2 linked regions of the Elephas maximus indicus genome follow. The protein of the gene in region 1 interacts with the protein of each later gene in a pairwise test. Links are inferred from orthologs where the notes say so. Each region holds a gene or a part of one and is shown on either strand. Other genes may lie near its edges.

Region 1 (7,289 bases):
TTCTGAGCCTCCATTTTCTCCCTTACTCCCAATTTTGATGACCTGCCCCCCCATTCCCCATGTTTCTCACCCTCAGACGGAGTGACACCCTTGATGTCAGCAGTTTGTTGTGGGGGAGTGGAGTCCAAGACCTTCCAAGGGGCATGGTTGGGAGGCCCTGAGCCATGGGAACCTCTGCTGGGTGGAGGGGCCTGTCCCCAGGCTCATGCCGTGGGCACTGGGGAGACGCCCCTGCACCTAGCTGCCCGATTCTGCCGGCCAACCGCTGCCCGTCGCCTACTTGAAGCTGGAGCCAATCCCAACCAACCAGACCGGGCAGGTCGCACCCCCCTTCACGCTGCTGTGGCTGCTGATGCTCGGGAGGTCTGCCAGGTCAGCAAACACTAGAGTCCCTGAAGGGAATGGGGGAGAGATTTCAAGTAAAGCTAGGAAAAGGTATCCCCTAGGGTTTGGCAAAGAGGTTGATGTGAGCTTGGGGACCTCAGAGAGAGAAAAACAAAGACAGATGGCTGAATATGGATTACCCAGTTGCGTCAAGCCAATTCCCACTCACGGCGACCCCATGAGTGTCAGAGTAGAACTGTGCTCCATAAGGCTTTCAATGGCTGATTTTTTTTTGGAAGTAAATAGCCAGGTCTTTCTTCCGAGGTGCCTCTGGGTGGACTCAAACTGTCAACCTTTAGGTTAGCAGCCGAGTACTTAACCTTATGTGCCACCCAGGGAACTCCTGGACATGGATTGGGAGCGGGATAAAAATGTGTGGGACCTAAGCTAGCCGTCCAGGCTACTGCAGGGGTCATTGGCCCTCTCTGGCCTCCCAGCTCCTGCTCCGGAGCAGACAGACTGCAGTGGATGCACGCACAGAAGACGGGACTACATCCCTGATGCTGGCCGCCAGGCTAGCGGTGGAAGACCTCGTTGAAGAACTGATTGCAGCCCGAGCAGACGTGGGGGCCAGAGACAAATGGGGTATGGATCTAGAGAGGATGATGCTGTGCTATAGAGAAGTTGACGTGAGGTGAGGTAAAAAAAGGAGCAGCAGAGGGACAGACTGGAGTCTAGGGCATTCCTTCCCATCCTGCTAAGTCTGCAGCGCGGTGGCAATGTGGAACTCGAGGGTCTCCCCCACTCCCCCACCATCTTCAACACCATCACATTACCACACACATGTATTACTCTAGCCCACAGGGATCTCGGATGAGGAAAGAGTCTGTGGGAAGGGAGAGGGCCGAAGTGTGGGAGGGGGTGGTCTCCCTGTCCCACCGACCCCAGAACAATGCCCCATTGTCCCGCCCGCGCGCCAGTGACGTCACCAGGGGCAACGCTTCCTGCCGGTCGGCGGTCGCCAGGGCAACGCTTCCCGCCTTTGAGGGACCCGGCTGGCCCGAGCAGCCCTACCCCCAAGGCCAGAATCCGTGGGAAACCGGAACCTAGGCGTCGGTCCCCAGCCCCGGGGTAACAACTTCCCACGTCGTCCCCCAGGAAAAACCGCGCTGCACTGGGCCGCCGCCGTGAACAACGCCCGGGCCGCCCGCTCACTTCTGCAGGCCGGAGCCGATAAAGACGCCCAGGACAGCAGGGTTAGACAGGGGCAGCGGGTTCTCTATAAAAAAGTGGGCGTGGGAGGTGGAAAGCGCGGGAACCGTACAAAACGTAAAGGGGCGGGGCCGGCGGCGAAATAGGTGGAGTCACGAAGGACCGGCCCTGTGAGCGCGGCCCTTCCTGACCTCTTCCTCCTGGCTGTTTCCTCCCACGCAGGAGCAGACGCCGCTGTTCCTGGCGGCACGAGAAGGGGCAGTGGAGGTAGCCCAGCTTCTGCTGGGGGTGGGGGCGGCCCGAGGGCTGCGGGACCAGGCCGGACTAGCGCCCGGGGATATCGCCCGCCAACGGAACCACTGGGATCTGCTGACGCTCCTGGAAGGGGCGTGGCCACCGGAGGCGCGTCACAAAGCCACGCCGGGCCGCGGAGGGGGCGCCTTCTCCTGCGCGCGGATCGCGTCTGGCAGCGTGCCCCCGCGTGGAGGCGGGGCTCTGCCGCGCACTCGGACGCAGTCTGCGGGAGCAGGCCCTCGACGGGGCGGGGCTTGTCTGAAAGCCAGGACTTTGTCCGTTGATTTGGCCGATCCCTGTGGCGGGGCCTATTCACACTGCCGGAGCCTAGCGGGAGGAGGAGCGGGAGGAGGAGCAGGAGGAGTCCCGGCCCCCCGCGGTCGTAGATTTTCCGCAGGCGCGCGCGGGCCTCGGCCCAGCCCTGCGATAATACGGGGAAGATCCGGGGTCGCGGCCCGGCGCGGGGGTGGGCCCTCGGCGGCTGACTGGCCCTGTGATTGGGTCGCTCTGAGAGCCCGCGGTCCCGCCCCCAGCACTACGATCCCGCCTCCTTGCCTTACTCCGTCCCCGGAACGGGTATCTCCTCAAGCTGCTTGGGGTCCCCAAGCCCTTAATTCCGGGGGCGAGGGCCAAAAATAGAAGGTTATATGGGTGGAGGGGAAACGTCTTAAAATGAGTACCCCTTAAATGACAGGCAATCTGGAAGTCCCTACAATTTTGACGTTCTGGAGCCCCAGAAGTGAGGTCATAAGTTTAGTTTCCCTCCCAAAATGAGTGTGTGCTCACAAGAATGGGTACCGTCTTCCACGTGGAGAAGCCGCAGCTCTGGAAAGAGGATTTAGGGTGCTGGGATGAGGCAGTCCTAGCCCTTCTCCCAGAAAAATAAGGGTGAGGGGCCACAGGAGGGCAGAAGGGAATGGGAGAAGTCCTCTAAACTGGAACCAAGAACTGCAGGCTGACGAATGTAAGAAGTTCTTTCCTATATATGGTTCCCAGAGGAAGCTTCTATCATGCCTTCTGTCACTGCCTACAAATGGCTGACGCCTACTGTGTGCCAGGCACTGTAGGTGCCAAAGGGGGGCCCAAGGGCAACTCCAGCTGATGACCTCTTGCATTTTCCCCATCTCCCCCCCAGAAAAGAAACTCCAGCACGGGGAAGCCATCACTGTCTCTATTTGAGACCCCTCAAGTCTGTCACCCCACAATAAAGCTGATTTGAAGTGTGACTTTTTTTTTTGGAGGGGTTGGGAGCAAAAGGAGAAAAAACATGAGAATGACTGGAATTTTTGTGCCCTATGTTCAACATTTGGATGAGGGCTTTGAGTATGGTTAAAGAGCAAGAATAGGTTTGGGATCCCAATCTAATTTACTCATATAGGGTCGCTGAAAGGGTCTAGTAGCCCAGGGAGAACCCACATACACACTAGGACCCGCCCACTCTTTGTCCTTCACCCAAAGGCATTTAGTGATGACCACATAGGAGATGCCTAAGGCCGCAAGTTAAATAAAGGGAGATGGAGAGGGCATCTTAAGGGAAACTTTATCCACCTTTCAGCAACGTGGTTACACCTCTAATAGTGATGGGCCTAAGACACAGAGGTGTAAAGTGTTTGAAAGTTAAAAATAGCTATCATTTACCAAGCATTCATTTTGTGCCAAGTGCTTTATCATATTTAATCCTCACATCAACTCTATGAGCTATGGGCTATTAAAACCCCCATTTTCTTCTTTTAGGAACAGGCACAGAGAGGTGTATTTGCCCAAGATTGCACAGCATTAAGTGGTAGAACCAGATCTTCATGCTCTAAGTCAGTCAGTGTAAGCCCCCAATGTGGCAGGTTGCCATTTAAAAAAAAAAAAATTGCCATCTAGTCAATTCCGACTCATAGCGACCCTATAGTACAGAGTAGAACCACTCCATAGGGTTCCCAAGGAGGATTCGAACTGCCAACCTTTTGGTTAGCAGCCAAGCTCTTAACCACTGTGCCACCAGGGCTCCATTTAGAGGCCTCAAATGTCTCTACCTGTCCTGCTGCTGCCTTGGTGACAGCCACCTTGACCAGCATTAATCAAGGAGAGAGCAGGGAGGTGGTCTGCTCCCTTTTCCATTTCTATATCCCTCGTTTATGACCGGAGGAAAGTTCCCCTGCCCCTTGTCTGCACTAAACTATGATTTGCCTGAGTGAACTTCATTCCATTTTCTCATTTGGTGCACGTCTTGTCCCCTGTAAACAACTTAAGGTCAGGGATAATTGTTCAACACATTTATTAGATACTCAGTAAATACACAATATTTACTGTATATTTAGCATGTGTTGGAGCCGGTGCTGGGGGTATAGGTGTATAAGCTTGAGGGCAGAACATTCCTGGGTCTGTGTACTCTGCTTCTCACTGGGACACCGCACCTTCTAGTCCCAATAGGTCTGCGGATGTGTGGGGAGGGCCAAATCCTATGTCAGGGTCTATCTTGGAGAAGAAACGGACCTGGGCGGGGGAGGGGCTGGGGGGTTCTGAGGAGTGAAACCACTTCCTGTGTAGCTAGTTCCTGTGTTGACAGTGTTGACAGAAAGAGCTGAAGGGGAGGCAGGGGTGGAGGGAACAAAGCCAGGGGCTATGGGGGTGCTGAGGCTGTGGGGATAAGAAAGGCAGGAGTCCTTCCCCACCGAGAGCCCCCCTCTAACTCCTGCGGCTGGAGGAGCTTTTCCTGATCTCTGTGTTCCCCTGGGGCTAGAGAGGTCGAGCAACTCTTTGGGTGGGAAAAGAGAACTGGAGGAAGTTGACAGGGATGGGCGGGGCCCGTGGGGGGGCTGACCAGGAACCCAGCTTCCTGCTCAGAACCCAGGCATCTAGCCCCCAGCTGGCCCCCACCCCTTCCAGCCCCCACTCCCCTCTGGAACCCAGGGTTCTGGCACTCTTCCCAAATCCCAGCCACCCCTCCCCCACCAGTTTCTCCCCTCCAGGGGATGGAGACCGAAAGAGCCCAGGACGGAGAAGAGGATGGTGAGCAGGTGAGCCGGGCACTAAGGGGGAAGACTGACACTTGACGAGAGGGAGGGGAGAGGACCCAGGCAGAGACCCAGCAACGGAGAACTCAGGAGACTTAAAAGGGCTTGGGCACACTGAGGCAGGAAGGGAGACACAGAGAGGAAGCAGGCCGCTGGCCTAGCCCCCTGCCCACTCCACCTTCTCTACCCACCCCTGCTTGACTGGAACGGACATCTCCCAGCATCAGGGCCCTTCCCAGGATGAACAGGGCTGGCCCCCTCTAAACACCACCACTCGGCCTTGGCGATCTGCTCCTCCGTCCCCTCCTCCAGGGAACCGCCACACAGGTACCTCTACCGCCCAGGGAGCTCCCAACCCTGGTTCCATCTTTCGTGATCCCATTACCAAGACCATTGTGGGCCCTCCCCTCCACCTCCTCCAGACTGTCCATCACACCCCCTCAGCTCTAACCCCAAGTCCCTAATCACCTCACCCTATTCCCCCCCCCACCCATCTCTCAAGTTCTCTGGTTCTCTGAGCCCTCCCCCTCCTCTCCCCAGCCCTAGGGCCCCGCTCGGCCTCCCTGCTCTCCCTGCAGACAGAGCGCCTTCTGGACCTAGTGGCTGAGGCCCAGTCCCGCCGTCTGGAGGAGCAGAGGGCCACCTTCTGTGTCCCCCAGATCCCCCCAAACCGAGCCCCAGCCCCACCCCGGCCTCTTGAGGACAGAGAACAGCTCTACAGCACCATCCTCAGTCACCAGGTGAGACACCTCCAGAAGGCAAGACCCAGACCTCTTGGCCCCCTAGTCCCTGTTCTGTTTCAGGCCCTACCTCTCCTTCTACCCAGACAACTGCCCCATTGCCTGCTCTTTAGTCTCCCCATCCTCATCATAGGTATCCTGTATCCCCACACTAACCCTGGCTCCCCTCAGAGCCTCACCAACACCCTTCTCCCTCCACTCCTCCAGTGCCAGCGGATGGAAGCCCAGCGGTCAGAGCCTCCCCTACCCCCAGGAGGACAGGAGCTCCTGGAGTTGCTGCTGAGGGTTCAGGGTGGGGGACGAATGGAAGAGCAAAGGTCCAGACCTCCCACACATACTTGCTGAGACCTGAACTGGCCCCTCTGCGCTCCTGGGGCTCAAAGCTGGGCGGCCCACTGCCTGCCCTCAACCCTGCTTGGCAGGGGCAGCAGAGACTGGAAGACCCAAAAGAAATCTCAATATTCATCCTTTTTTTTTTTCTAGACTAGCACCCTGGTGGCGTAGTGGTTAAGTGCTACGGCTGCTAACCAAAGGGTCGGCAGCTCAAATCCGCCAGGCGCTCCTTGGAAACACTATGGGGCAGTTCTACTCTGTCCTATAGGGTCACTATGAGTCGGAATCGACTCGATGGCACTGGGTTTTTTAGACCAGCACCCGTGGGAAATAGAGGGGGTGAAAATTCTCAAACCCTGTTAATAGTAAAAAGGCAAGGTAGGATGATCATTGAACTCCCTCCCCAAGTACTTGGGAGCTTGAGGCGGTGAGGGGATCCCAGCTACCAGGGGACACCCCACTCCTAGATCTCAGGGGGTGGTTGGGAATCTCCAGCAGGAGCTGTCGAGACATCCCTAGGAGTCAACCCACCAGGCAGGGTCTGAGAACTCAGGCCTCCACCTTGCAAGAAAAGGCAAACGTCCCAAGGTTGTGACTGGAGAGACAGCCCACCCTCCTTCCCAGTTAGAAGAAAGGAAGGGTGGGTGGGCAAGAAGAGAGATTAAGACTGTCTGCCGACGCCCACCAAGGCATTCCCCCGCCCCAGGGCTGAGGGGCCTAGAGGCTGGAAACAGACCACTAGCCCTGCCCACCCGCCGTCCCCGCCGCCGCCTCTGCTCGCTGCTCGGAGTCAGTCTGATGTTTTGGTTGTGTGAATAAATTTAATTCCCCTCTGGACTGAAGGCTAGTGTCTGGAGGGCTGGGGTTGGAGGGTGGGAAGGTAAGGCCGGAGGCCGCCTTTCTCCTTAGGCTGGCCAGAGGCCAGCTCCCCTCTCTGGCTGGTTAATTACTGGCTCATTAAGCAGCAGCTGGAGACCTCCCTAATTATCCCCCCCCCAGTCCCCCTCTCCCAGTTTTAATTAAATAGAACTAGAAGGGGAGTCATTAGGACAAGAAATATGAACTGAGCTGTCTGTGAACCCAGGCATTCCAGCGGCCGGAGAGTCCACATCACCGCGATCCCTGACGCGGAATCCAGGTGGCTGCCCCCCTCCAACCCCAACACGCCCCCTCCCGGACCACGGAAGTCCAGCCCGGGGGCCTTCCCGTATTGCCTCCAATGACCCAGTCTCCTCCCCTCGTCTCCTCATCCCTGTCCCCTCCTCCACTCGGTCTCAGTTCCTCTGTTTCTCTCTCTCTCCGCCCCCAGCTCCTCCCTGTTCCTCCTCCCTTCTCCCCTCCTCTTCCTCCGCGGCTCCCCTCCCCCCGCCTCCCTCCCTCG
Region 2 (7,618 bases), on another chromosome or scaffold:
TCGAATTCCAGGTCAGATAGCTGAGGAGACCTCTGAGTTCCTGGAGCAGCAACTTACCAGCGACATCATCATGTCAGACAGCTACCTCCGTCCTGCTCCGTCACCCCGGCTGGAATCGTGATGGGCTGCTGGACACTCAGAGGGAGATGGGCCTGGGGGCCTGTTATGATTGCAAGGACCACCTTGTGGAATCACCTGTTCCCAGCTGGCTGGAGCTGGAGGTGGGGTCTCTGCACACAGCTTTTGCTTGGCATTTCCTGGGTCAGGAATACAGCTGACAGCATGGACATGTGGCAACAGCTTTGGACTTGGCTGTGATCCTTGACTACTGGGGGAGGGAACCTGGGTATGGCGAGCTGGTGTTGAGAGAAAAGGGTCACAAAGGTGAGATGAAGCCTCTTAACCAGTGAGTTTTCCATGCCACAGGAAGCAGGGAAACTCTCTAAGTTGGTGGATACAGGGCTGTAGGCTACGTTTGGAGTTATTCTGGGGCTACTTTGGATATTTTATTTTCCAGTATAATTGTCCAGGGCGGTAATTGCATCCAAGCAAGTTAAGAAAATGACCCGTGTCTTCTCATTGCCTTGCTAGGTTTAAAACCAAAAAAAAACCAAACCCATCGCCGTTGACTCGATTTCTACGCATAGCAACCCTGTAGGACAAAGTAGAACTGCCCTACAGGGTTTCCAAGGCTGTAATCTTTATGGAAGCAGACTGCCACATCTTTCTCCCATGGAGCAGCTGGTGGGTTCAAACCGCCAACCTTTTCGGTTAGCAGCTGAGTGCTTAACCACTGCACCACCAGGGCTATTTCTTCCTAGGTTTAGAAAGAACTAAATTACAGCCAAGTGTTTCCATTCAAGCTAATAGATCTCTTTCCAGTTTTATATCTGAAATTTCCTTAAAGGGAAAGGATGAGTTGGGTATGTTCCTTCCTACCACAATTATCCAAGTTTGGCCAGAAACAAGCGGAATAGCAGTTCAGGGTACGTGGAGTAGAAGACAGGAAAGCTGACTGCAGCTCTCTCTCCCACTCTCAGGAGCAGCCCCTCTTCTTTATTTCCCTGTCACTCTGTATATGGGAGATCAAGCTTAGGGCTTGATCTCAGCAGAGGCAAGAGAATTAGATAGGATGGATGTTTCTCCTTTTTAGGATGAAGATCTTGGAAAGATTGGGAGTGGAATGGCTGAGGGTGGGAGCTAGCATTTGAATTGCTAAGGTGGCTGAGTACAAAGAGGCCAGCTAATCACCCTGATCAATAATATCGATAATCTTTCCCTTCCAGGACTGGCCTCCCTGATCTCTCTCCTCATGGCAGCGACCCACCTCCAGCCCCCTGGATAATCGGGTACAAGAGACTAAGGTTGGGCATGGAAAGGGTGGGTTTTCCATGGGCCACCGAATGCCTCTCTATAACTCATTCATCACTCTCAAAATTAGCTTCAGTGACTTAAATCTCTTCTATCTGCAGCCCTGGATTGGAGAGAAGGCACAGGAGTTGGGCTCAACTGTTCACTGATTGCGATTGGAGGAACTATTACTTGGTATTAGTGGCCAGAGCATGAACCAATCAAATTTTCAAGGAAGAGGGAGTAATTGCAAACTAGCCAGGACACCCATCTGGGACTACCTGTTCACCCTGCTTCCCCCAATTTAATCAGGTGACACACAAGGATAAGGCAGGACCAGGGGATGGCATGGTCTGTATTTGAACAAAAGCCTGGCTCATTGAGCATCAAAGGGGAAAATGGATTGGTGGGAGTGGGATAGTTTCCCCTTTGAACAGCCAATAAATAATTTTACTATAAAAAAGTTATACTGATATCAATACTGACTCCTTCAGTTCAATTCAGTGCATACTAGTTGAACACCCACTATTCTCTGGGACCCACACAAACGATGTGCGGTCACTGCTTTCAAGCAGTTCACAGTCTAATTTGATCAGATACTTTGTATTTTTACAGAGCATTGATAGCTGGTAAAGTACCATAGCAAGTATTTGAGAGATAGATTGGAGAATATGTCTGTGGTTATAACTTCTGAGAGTTTGGTCCATTGCAGAAATATATCTACACAGAGGTTTCCTGTAGATTGTGGAAAGGGTGACAGTTATAAAAGAAAACTGTCTAGTGGAGAAAATGATTAATTAAATGAACTTGGGCAAACGTAGCTTTCCCTCCCTTCATCTAGAAATATTTCTAGGTTTCTGTCTTCCTACCACTTATTACTCCAATCTAGTGCCTATTATATTGATAAAATACCTTACAAAGGTAGTATATACAGTGAAGAGAGTCCTTTGTGATTGAAAAAACATGTTTGTACTGCTCTCTCTATTCCATTTTAAGATAAAATCATACTGAGGAATCTCATTCCTAGATGAGGGAGAAATTCTTCTTCAAAACACAAGCATTGCCAGCAGGTGGCAGTGTGAGTCCAGTTGAAAAAGGAAAGGGGTGCGTGTGGTGAAGGGGAAGAGGGGGAAATTAAACCTTGCCTGGCAGCCATTTTGGTAATTTATTTTGCCCTTTTTTTGGGTTTTACCCTCTAACCTTTGTTTACATACATCGAAGAAGAAAGTTTTAAGTGCAAGGATCTCTCTAATTCAGGCTGAAATTTCCTGACACTGTGATCTCATTGGTGTTTATTACAGAGTTTGACGATGAAAATTGTCAGTTATTTTTCCTTGTCTGAGTGGATAATGAAGGAAATAAAAAATTCTCTCCTGTCATGCTGAGAATGTTCCCAACAATTTCTGCCATGACCACGTTCCAGGCGTTTTCTAGTCACTAGTTTGGCTTGATAAAGTTTGATATGTTATCTTAGCTCTGAAAACTGTTCCTGGATAAAACCTGAACGCCCTAATTCACAAAAGGCAACAAGTTGGGGCAACCATTCTGTCATTTACTTTTTCACCCACATTCTGGTGGTGTTGGGGTGACTCCCAATCTTAGATGAAAACTTTAGACCCTCTGTTGTCAGTTCTCTCCAGGCAAGATCCTATAGGGTCATGGTAGAAAAGGGACAAATTTGGAGTCAGATAGATCTACTTACTCACTGTGTGAACTTGGGAAAGCTGCTTAATTTCTCTGAGCCTATTTCCTCATCTGTAAAAATGAGGATATTACCTACCTCACAGGGTTGTTGTGAGGATTAAAAGAGATGACAGTGGAAGCACCTAGCCATACCTGGCAAATAGGTACTCAATAAATACTGTTTTTTCTTCCCCTTTCCTCTTGCCCTTTTTCCCCAGAAACACTGATTATGGTTATCCTAACAGTCGTTTGAGAATGAGTGGGAGACCTTCAAACTCTGAAGATTGGCATTGATGCGTTTTTTGGGTTAGGTTAATATGGCTCTCATGATATTGCTGTAATTAATAAATCATCACCATATAGACCTTTCTATTGGGAACCTTAGCCTCTAAGGTTTAAATTCTATTAGGGTAATTAAATAATTTTTAGTCACAGGGAAAGATTTTTTGGGAGCCACGAAAGAGTTCCTCTCCCTAGAACGTATGGTGAGAGTGTTTGTGGGGCGTTTGGCAGTAAAGGGAAGTTAAGGCCGCCTTCAACTAGTACCTGGGGTTATCAAGGAAAGGAAGTATCAGCCTGGGGTTTTCACAGGGACTTACTAATTTTCAGGTGTCACTAGAGTTGAAAAACGAGCACACAGTAAATTTAGAAGATTCACAAGATGCACTGGTTTGTTTTGGGGAGTGGGACTGCAGCTGACTAATTTTGGTAAAAGTCCTAAGCCCCTAAGCTAGACGACCATAAGAGCTAAAATTGGCTTATGTTAGAGAGGGCAGCATGGAAATTTTATGAACTACACGCGTAACTTTCAGGTTACTGGGTCTCTGCTAGAGATTGCAAGTGGTTCTTTGACAACACAGGAGCTGGGTAACTCCCCAATCCACAGAACCTCGTACGTAATGGCACGCGGACCAGAATCCATTTTGAGAGCAGGAGGTAGCGGGCCAGAGGAGAGGGCAGAAGTGGCTCGCTATAGTGTTAGATCTCAGATGTGAGGCGCGGCTGGGGACCAGGCTGCAGTTTGTTCCCTTTCTATAAATCTAGCCGAGACGACCCTGGCAGACTGTCCTATACTTGGGCAGCGGCCAGGATCTCCAAGGCCAGCGATCAAAGGCTCACTGGCCTGCACCCAGCAAAGCCTTCCGTGCGGGCTGTAGGCTCTTAGCTGAGAATCTCTCCCACCATCCTGCCCCGTCCAAACCCGTCTGTGGGATCTCAGAAAGGCGCCTATGAAATACAGAAGCCAGACCCAGGATTTTCTACATTTATTTAAATAATATAGAAAAGCAAAAGGCAGACGAAAAGGGAAAAAGAGACTAAAGACGGACTAGAGGTGTGCACCCAGCCCACAAATCCATAACCTGAGCCTACCGCCCCCTCCCCAGTACTTCCGCTTTTGGTAGCACCTCCCCTCCCGGAGCTAGAGCGGTTTGAGAAGGGACGGCCGTAGGGCATCACCGGAAGTGTCGCAAACGCCGGATATCCGGTTCCTCTGGGCGCTCCGGGAGCTGAGACTGAAGAGGGACGCCGCCCAGCAGCAGGCGCCGTCTCAGTCGCCCGAGCCGCAGTCGCCGCGGTGTGTGAGTGAGCCCGGATACGGTCCCCTCTCCCGCCGCCGCCATGGGCTGCACGTTGAGCGCCGAAGACAAGGCGGCGGTGGAGCGGAGCAAGATGATCGACCGCAACTTGCGGGAGGACGGGGAGAAGGCGGCCAAGGAAGTAAAGCTGCTCCTGCTTGGTATGGGGCCGTGGGCGTGGCTGGCGGGGTGGTTGGGAGGCCCTGGGCACTTGGAAAATCTGAGGGGGGGTCAGGCCGGGCCGGTGTAAAGGACTCCGGAGAGATCTAGAGGGCTTGACGGGCTTGGGGCGGGTATTTAGGTTGGTGTCTGAGGCCCCGGAGGGCGTGATGAGGGGGTGGGGTTTGGGGTTGTAGGAATTAAGCTGTAGAGGGTGTGACTCCGGGCTGGAATTGGGTTTAGCGTAGAGAGCTTCGGAATGGGGCGGTACCGTAAAGAGACTGTTAGGAATATAGGAAATACTCATAAAACAGCTGATATTAGGGAAACTTTTGTATGGATTTGCAGTGTTTTGATAGCAAGGAGTTCGGGATACAGTGTAATGTGTAGGGTTTGTATAATGGTTTGCGAATTTGAAGCGTAGTGGTACTCTTAGAATAGAGCTGGGAAACTTAGAGTAATTAATATAAATAGAGAGGTTGGGGCAGAGCGATCACATAAGGACTCTGTCATTAGAGAGTGGGCATTTTGAACTGTTGGTAAGTGGAGGGAACTTGGATTATCCAGGAACATAAAGGTGGGTGACAGGTTATCGGGTATGAACGAAGAGAGCTTGGGTGCTGAGGCCGTCTTTATACTTGTCCTGCGTTTTCTATCATTTTTATTCTCTTAAATTTTACAGCCCCCTCCCCTGTTTTTATAAAGGGGGGATGTAGAGAGCTGGGGAAATTTAAAGAATGGCTTGGTTGAGATTTGTGGCAGTTGAGGTAGTGGACATAGATTATCTATTGGGAGTTGCTCAATAGTTGGCTAGGGGTGATGTGCAGTGTGAATGAAGGAGTTAGGAAAAGTTAAGAAATTGGACATATTTCTTCTAAAGACCGACAGATCTATGGTGAACTGTTTTATCTTTTTTGGTTTCTTCGAATAAAAAATATTGGCTTTAGGCATTACTTTTTATGATGCTACCTGACATTTTTAAAAAATAGCTTTTACGGACCATCAGGTGCATTTTGCTCAGCAGGTTTAGTTTTACAATTTTTGAGAGACTGGCTTCTAGAGGCTCAGTAAATCATATGAAGTACCTTGGCATTAGTTTACCAATAAATCGAGCCACATTTCTTCACTATTAATATTTTCTAGGGACCCATTAGAGAAGAATAAGAATAAAGTGGTTTCTTAAGCAATAGAACAGCTTAATTTTTAAAACAGTTGACTTTTGAGAAAAAGTAGCTGCTTTAGGGGAAGTGCCAAATTTTCATAGTGTAAAACAGACTCAGAGGACAGAATGCACCACCATAATCCAAGGCTTGTTTTAGTTTGAACTTTGGGACGTGCTGGCTGCACCTGCTAGTCTCTTCTTGTTAACATATTTGTTTGTCTGTTGATCGCAGAAGCCCTGGTAATAGCTTTTTTGGATATAAGGGGAAAACTGCATTGGATTTTGAGCTTCCAGTTTGACTGCCTAAACTTTCAGAAGGCACAAATTCAGATTTAGTTCAAGATTTCCACGGTCTATGTAATAGATAAGGAGCCCTGGTTCCGCAGTGGTTAAGTGCTTGGCTTCTAGCCGAAAAGTCAGTGGTTTGAACCCACCAGCCGTTCTGCGGGACAGCGATGTGGCAGTCTGCTTCTGTGAAGATTTACAGTCTTGGAAGCCCTACGGAGCAGTTCTACTCTGTCTTGAAGGGTCGTCGTGGGTTGGAATCGACCTGACGGCGGTAGGTATGTAACAGGTGTTGTTGTGGATGAGCACAGTCCCTGGCACATAGTAGGTGCTGCTTAAACATTTGCTGCTAATCAGCCTGAGCCAGCTAATGTTGGACATTGGTCCTGGGGCCTTTCAGATGTTTGGTACAAAGTATAACAGTGAAGGCATTTTCTATATTGATAGGTTGGTTATGAGGTTAAAGGTGCATTCTCGGCTTCTGTGAGTGTTTTGATTTACATTGGCCGTCGGAGATCCCTTGGGCCGTTAGCCTGTTTTAATATAGTTGTAAACTATGAGACTTTCTTCCAAATGGCAAGACTTAGCAGGCAGAACTCAGGCAAGTAGAACTCGTTCAGATGTTTAGAAAAATCTTTATTCGGGACTTTATAAATATTACATTTAATTAAAAACAAAAGCATGTGATGATTTAGGAAACTTGAAAAGCAGTAAATAAAAATCAAAGTATTAAAGCATTTGTTTTTAATTTTTATCACTTCATTTTTAAAAAAACTTTGTTGTTTTTGAAAATATACACAGTAAAACATATACCAGTTCAACCGTTTCTGCATGTACAATTTAGCGACATTGGTTACATCCTTCGAAATGTAATTCAGATATAATCATTTTTGAAATGATTGTGCAATCATTTTCACCTTCGTTTTAAGTTTTAAAGTTTATCTCAGGGCAGTAGTATCAGGGGTTCATCTAGCCCCCATGGCTCTAGAAAGTCTGGAGTTCCATGAGAATTTGAAATTCTTTTCCGTAGAATCTTTGATCGAAATGTTCAGCAGTGATAGCTGGGCATCATCCAGCTCTTCTGGTCTTTTGGCAGAGGAGGCATTAACTTCATTGTTTTTTACGTAAGTTTTTTTTTTTTTTTTGTATCCTTGAGCAAGTTAAATCAACAAATTCAAACAGGTTCCAGAGAGATGTTCTTGCTTGAGCCGGATGATGATGCACATGTGAAGTTAAAACTGCCTTCCTTGCTATTTATGTAAAATGTACTCATCGCTGTATGTGATTTTTTTTTTTTTTTGCTGTTGAGTACGTTCTTTGATGTACATGTGAGTCATTTTTACTTCATCACTCTGAAACTATCAAACTTAGTCTAACTTGAGATCTATCTCTATTACCTTTG

What was found.
Region 2: the proteins of GPSM3 (region 1) and GNAI3 interact in binary tests that used the Homo sapiens proteins (3 or more experiments, as listed by UniProt). The two-hybrid records come from large-scale screens. The link is inferred for Elephas maximus indicus from reciprocal best matches to the Homo sapiens genes GPSM3 and GNAI3.

Annotation. Positions count from the first base shown.
Region 1 is NC_064819.1:93,681,267-93,688,555, reverse strand, and holds GPSM3 (G-protein-signaling modulator 3), read left to right. Parts: upstream 1-4,414; 5' UTR 4,415-4,793; coding exon 4,794-4,838; intron 4,839-5,056; coding exon 5,057-5,162; intron 5,163-5,375; coding exon 5,376-5,575; intron 5,576-5,782; coding exon 5,783-5,920; 3' UTR 5,921-6,745; downstream 6,746-7,289. Other genes in the region: NOTCH4 (neurogenic locus notch homolog protein 4), read left to right, coding at 77-372, 822-969, 1,483-1,580, 1,759-2,469. UniProt on the Homo sapiens protein: Interacts with subunit of G(i) alpha proteins and regulates the activation of G(i) alpha proteins.
Region 2 is NC_064821.1:172,029,383-172,037,000, reverse strand, and holds the start of GNAI3 (guanine nucleotide-binding protein G(i) subunit alpha-3), read left to right. Parts: upstream 1-4,516; 5' UTR 4,517-4,653; coding exon 4,654-4,771; intron 4,772-7,618. Other genes in the region: GPR61 (G-protein coupled receptor 61), read left to right, coding at 1-121. UniProt on the Homo sapiens protein: Heterotrimeric guanine nucleotide-binding proteins (G proteins) function as transducers downstream of G protein-coupled receptors (GPCRs) in numerous signaling cascades.